2 linked regions of the Tribolium castaneum genome follow. The protein of the gene in region 2 purifies or fractionates together with the protein of the main gene of each other region. This does not show direct contact. Links are inferred from orthologs where the notes say so. Each region holds a gene or a part of one and is shown on either strand. Other genes may lie near its edges.

The links.
Region 1: the proteins of Strip (region 2) and Cka purify together in Drosophila melanogaster (affinity purification with western blotting; 4 studies listed by BioGRID, with this or other methods). This does not show direct contact. The link is inferred for Tribolium castaneum from reciprocal best matches to the Drosophila melanogaster genes Strip and Cka.

Annotation. Positions count from the first base shown.
Region 1 is NC_087402.1:3,095,109-3,098,579, forward strand, and holds the end of Cka (striatin-3), read right to left. Parts: intron 3,451-3,471; coding exon 3,247-3,450; intron 3,197-3,246; coding exon 3,071-3,196; intron 3,019-3,070; coding exon 2,679-3,018; intron 2,628-2,678; coding exon 2,363-2,627; intron 2,316-2,362; coding exon 1,952-2,315; intron 1,902-1,951; coding exon 1,729-1,901; 3' UTR 633-1,728; downstream 1-632. Other genes in the region: uncharacterized protein RhoGAP71E, read right to left, coding at 71-235.
Region 2 is NC_087403.1:5,463,175-5,465,863, reverse strand, and holds the end of Strip (striatin-interacting protein 1), read right to left. Parts: coding exon 2,367-2,689; intron 2,317-2,366; coding exon 2,072-2,316; intron 2,021-2,071; coding exon 1,793-2,020; intron 1,744-1,792; coding exon 1,572-1,743; intron 1,527-1,571; coding exon 1,322-1,526; intron 1,274-1,321; coding exon 1,179-1,273; intron 1,121-1,178; coding exon 956-1,120; 3' UTR 649-955; downstream 1-648.

The sequences.
Region 1 (3,471 bases), on a different chromosome or scaffold from region 2:
CCCAAAAAACACGCTGTAGAATATATGAAACCTGGACTTTTTTAAGCTCTCCTCTTGTGTGACGACTTACAAGAAGTGGTCCCGGAATGTCGTTTTTGCAGACTTCTTCGAGAGGTACCCCGAACTTGACTTTCTCCAGCCTCCGAGGGTAGGGCCCGGAAGGGTGGCCACAGGACGTGACCACGTTGCTGAATGTGGCAGCTCGCCTGTGCATCCTTGCTGCCCAACTGCTCATCTCAACAGCCCCGTCTAACGTGTGTAATTCCAATTACAACGACCAGAAACGCTCATCCAAGCATAACCTAACTAAAAGCGCACATCAAAACATCTTCAAACTGAAAACGTTCACTTAAACAAAACAACTGCACTGTAACGAACACTAGGGATTATTTTACACATTTTGAGCACATCGGAAGTTTGAAATTTTTTTACAAACACCAACCACACCTCCAATTTCTACACCACAGATGACAGATCGCTACGCCTAGGATTATCATCATTTTCTCTAAAATGAAATACCAAAAATCGATGGTGGGGGGAGATCACAGCCAACTGCCACTTGGTATTACCTCGCGCCATTGGCTGGCGGTTTAGGCGCTAAACCATCGCCAGTTTGAACAAATGGACACAGCTTGAGTATTTACAGTTTATTGTTTTATGTTTTATACATTAAGTCATACATTCTTCATTCCTTGTGATTTGACCGCTTCGTAACCACTTATGGTTATTTTAAAAAAGTTACAGGTGTTTTATACATTGCAAACATGAAATTTCTTTATAAAATAGAACATGACGGTGTAAGTAGTTCCTATGACTTTGTATCTACAATGTTGAAATCATACGGGACTTATCGTTCTGTTTCGAAGCATTTTAAACAGTTTAAAACTTGTGTACAAAATAAATAGTAGCCACTATAAAAAGTTACATAAACACAACAATCTCGCTATCAAAACCGAAAATGATTAAGCTAATATATACATTATTGACTTTAGAAAACAGATAACTAATAGAGAGACCAGTTTCTTAAATATTATCCTATGATTTAAATACACTTTTATACATTCACAATTATACTTATTATCACTTACTATTGTTAACTGCTACTTTACGTTTCTTTAGCTATTATGCACTGGACTATATTAAACTTAAAAATATACGTGATAAATTATATGCTTAAAATAATAAAATAACAGCTATTTTAATACTATTATAAAAACGTTACTATTAATACACTTTTAAAAATGTTTTTCCTGTGGCAATTCATTTATTAGTGAGTTGAAACTAGTTATCACAAAATAAGAAAACGCGTCGACATTGTGTGTAAAATGAGAATTTTTTCTTACACTTTGGGTATGGCCAGCTGTACACAAAAGCGATTCTTTTGGTATGCAAGTCCAGAAACAAGAAAATAATTGCAAATGATGGGATTTATCAGAACGCTGACTATCCTACAACAAAAATTAACTCCTACGAAACATCAAGATCATTCTGTGAGCACATATAAGCTCAAAGTGTAGGAAACATGTACATAAGTTGTTTGTCTAAACTTTGGTGATAAATAAAACATGAGAAATTAAAGTAAGAAAAGCCTTTGAGTACAATCATGTAGTATATACAAACTCCTTCAGAATATTTTATGTACACCTAACCCACACAAATAGTAAAGCCAGTGAATGTATCGATTGACAAAATCTATTTAATATAAGTGATGTCCTGTTTACTTATAATTCAGACAAACACTTTGGCCAGTCCATCAGCCCCCGCACTTGCAATATACGGCCGAGTCGGGTGGAAAGCGACGTCTAGAATGCTTTCGTGGAACTTCTTTCTGTGTGCAGTGATCTCTTGAACGCAAGTCTTATTGTCCAAGTTCCATAATCTTATTGAACAATCATGTGAGCCTGAAAAAATCAGTCACACATGTCCTGACACCAAGTGTCGCAATACTTGCCTGATAATAAATACAACCCGTTAGGATCTACTGCTAGGCTAGTGACAGCTTCGAGATGAGCAACCATAGAATGGACCATTTTGCCGGTGTGATTATCCCAGAAACGAACATGTCTATCTTCGTGTGCTGTGATGGTCAAGGGTAAAGTCGGATGGCAAACTATTCTATTTATTTGCTTATTATTAGGATTAACACTGTCTTGACTGGATTCGAGCCGCATGACGGATTTGGCAGTTTCAGAATCATATACTACACAATGAGAACTAGCGTAAGCTGCGACTATACGATTTGGTTGGTCTCTCACGAAATCTACACTTGAGGGGATCCCGTCCTGTTCGGACGTGAACGTGTTCAGTAATTGTACCTAAACCAAAAATCATTTATTACGGAAAAAATCACAACACGAAATACCTTGCTATGCGGTGCCCACAACTTAACAGTACCATCGGCCGCACATGAGAGCAAATGCTGCCGAGAATTTAAAACAGACAGCCCCCAAACAGCGTCAGTATGACCTTGCAACGTAGTGTTTAGAACGTCAGGTTCAAACAAATCGTACGGATCTATGTTAGAATTAGGAACATTCCAACAGTTTATCACGCCATCTAAGCCACCGGAATAACAAAATTCTCCGGTCCCGGAAATCGCCAAACAAAGAACGGGTCCAGTATGATTCCTGTAACGTGAATTTCACTCTTGTTTATTTCCTTACACTTGACATTATTACCTAAAGGTGTACAAGGGTTCCACATCAAGGGATGCCGATTTTTTCGCGGGTACAGTTTTCTGCAAATTCCACAGTTTCAAAGTGTGGTCTTCGCTAGCTGTGATCAGTACGGACTCATTTGGATGAAAAGCTAGCGCTCGGACCCCGTCAAAGTGACTTCGAAGCGTGTATTTGGCATTCCATGTCTTCCGAAATGCCTCTTTACTGCTGGCAATGTCGTACGTAGTCTCTGCATCATTGTTTACCGTCAGTTGGGCCAGTTCGCCGAGCCCTAACGCCGAATCAATGTTATCGTCGTCGTTTAGGCCCAGCGGCCTCTTAGGCACTCCACCTTGAAAACCTGGAAAATTTCGCTGTTATTGCAAAACTACCGTGGTTACAACGATTTTTACCTTTCTTCCACTCGCTGTGCTCATTCTTAAATTCCTGTCGCTCTCCAGACTCGGACAAAAGATTGAGTTCGTTTAGAACTTCCATGGCTTCGGCGTCCACATCATCTCCCAAACTATCCAGTTTACCTGCACATAAATCGTAATTAATGCTGATTTACTAAGTGACAAGTGCACACCTTTTCGTTTCACCACTTTCACATCGTCGTCGAGATCATCAGTGGGCTCAATGTCAACATCATCACTCATATCATCATCGTCTTCCATGTCAACATCAGCATTAGACAGGAAGTCCAAATTGGCCATAACCGCCGCTTCTGTATCGAGCATCATTGCTTCGGCCAATGAGCTGGGTTGAGGTTTCTTAGCTGGAGTTCTTCTCCCTGTAAAATCATTAAACATTG
Region 2 (2,689 bases):
CTTTTGTAGTAGTTGACTACATTCCAATATCCACTTCAGGATTTTAAAGAGATTACAGAAGTAGCAATTAATTTATACAACATGGAATTAAAAACGGGTTCTTGATTGTTAATTTAATAGTAACGTGAAATTAAGTTATTAATGTGGTTAAGAAATTGAATTTATTTTAATAAATGTATTATATGTGTTTTTTGTTTACTTGGAAAAATTTATATCACTAAATTTAAAGGAGAATATTATCTACAATTCAAATTAAAATAAATCAAGTTTTTTAAGTCATACGTGTGTATTATATCGGTTTGAAAGTAAGATGTGGCTATATCACGCGTCAGTTTCAAAAAACACGTTTGGTCATTTGGGATGTATTCTTTTTTTTATTACTTTGTTTTCCCTTTTTGTACTTAACTATATTTTTGTGCTTTTTTTTTGAAGATACTGGAACCTTTATTAAAATCCTCGCTTCGAATTTGCGCTTCACATATTCGCAAAAATTGCTGCAAAATCAATTGGTTAAGTCTTGAGTTCCCTATTCATGTAATAATCCTTCACATACTGACCAATATGCAGAAACGATGATATTACGTCAATAAGGAGTGGATGGAAAGGAAAGAATGATTAAAAAAATGGGGAATGAATAAAACAAACTAATCATTATATAGCAAATATATTTAAATACTGAAGTAACCAAAATTTTTTTAACTGGGGAATTATTTTCCAACAAATAAGAACTGGTGCGGATAACAAAGTTAATTCAATAGGAATTGTCAAAAACAAAACGAAACATTGAATACTAACTAGAACACAAAAACTGAACTAAAACGAACAAAAAAATACAAAAATGCCGTAAATGTAACACACCACTTACTTAATTGAAACTGAGTATATTTATTGCAGTGATGAAAATTGTGATGGTGTTATATTTACTGCAATAGTTCAATAAATAATATCAAAGTCACTATATTGTTTGGTTTAAGAGAAGTTCCTCCCATTCGATAGTATTCCCATAAACTTCTTGTTCTAGCCAAAGTTGGTAGTGTTGTTTAAAACTCTCGGAGAGATCGTAGGTGGTCCCAAGCACGCTGTTTAGACAGTTATCCACAGGTGCAAATTCGCTGTCTTGCTGTAAGGGAAACTTATTAGTACAATAAAAGTATCTAACGGGGTAATGCAAGACATACATTTGCTTGCGTATATCTACGGTTATTAAACCTGTCAACTGAAGCTCTCAAAGCACATTCCTCAGCTTGGAAATCCCAGGGTCTTGCGTCCAAATCTGCACAGAAAACTATAGAAAAATATAACAATAAACAGGAACAATTACCATTTCCGTATGCCCAGTCATCGTTCAACCGATGCCTCACTTTCTGGTAGATGGCACTAATAGTTTTCATATTAGATTTGCGCCATTGGCGACCCAAGTATTTGGTTTGCATTTTTAATAATTTTAAAACGTACAGTTGGGTCATTGCATGCCTGACTTTGAGTGTGCGTTTTAAAATTGGAGCGGATTTAAAAACCACCAACATCTAAACAAAAAAATTAGCATTAAGAACATTTTTATTTGTACATACCATAATCCTGGAATGTTTCCATTTTGTTAACTTATTGAGTATCCTTAACAAATTAATACATGAGAACATATTCCTCCAGGAAAATGGTGCTGAGTCTCCGATCTCCAGACTTTCAGCTGTTAGTTCCGGTTGATCACCGATCACACAAGACGGAAAATCTAATATAGGAATCCTAAAAAGCTATTTATGCAGACATGTTTGCTATAGATCCTGGAACTTACACATTCTTCGCGCCCACGTAAGCCATGATGTTCTGATTGAAGAATTTCAATACTAGAGGTATACAGTTTGCAAAAACTAGATGCTGAGACATGAATTCAAACTGATAAATATGATTCAATTTGAAATGTTTCAGAAGTAACAATAAAATTGCAGAAACTGCCTTAACTATAATTTCCTTGTGCCTATTTACGTCAATTCCCAATTTCATTGACTGGAGAACAGTCATTCTAAAAAAACAACTGTCTTAAACCAAAGTTAAGAAACCGTCGGACACTTACGGCATCTCTTCTGGCAAAACATCAGCCATAATATTAATAGAATCAGTTTTAGCTTTTGAGGTAGGAGCAGCAGCAAGTAATATTTTAAGTAAAGCTATCATGTATTGTGGTAGATTAGGCAACATTGCCTGATACAAAATTTCAGTTGGAGTCATTTCTATTTCGCCCTCGGACGTCGAGAGAGGATTACGAGCAATCTCTTCCTCTTTTTGAATTTGCAACTCAGCTAAAGAAGTATAAACATGCTAAAACCGCAAAGTTAGACCGTAAGACACTCGCAACTCAAGCGCACTACTTCTTTCAAAGTTTTAACTCCTTCATGGATGGGTAAAGGTAGTCCAGCTAAACTATCGCGATCGCCTTGTAGACTATACCCGACGAATTTTAATCTAGCAGTGTCCAAAAACAAGTCGATATCTTTCTGCCGCACTTTCGGTTTCCAAGGTAAGCCGCGAGGAACAACTAAAGAACTCTGCAAAGGAGGTGATGTAGGCCTATTCTGATAATTGCTGTACATTTGATTATTTTCGGAGTTTTCGGGAGGACGACGATCGTCGTATTCGGAGAGTTCACCCAACTCGTCGCCGTTGTCCCCGCCAACGAGGGTGGCGTCTAATT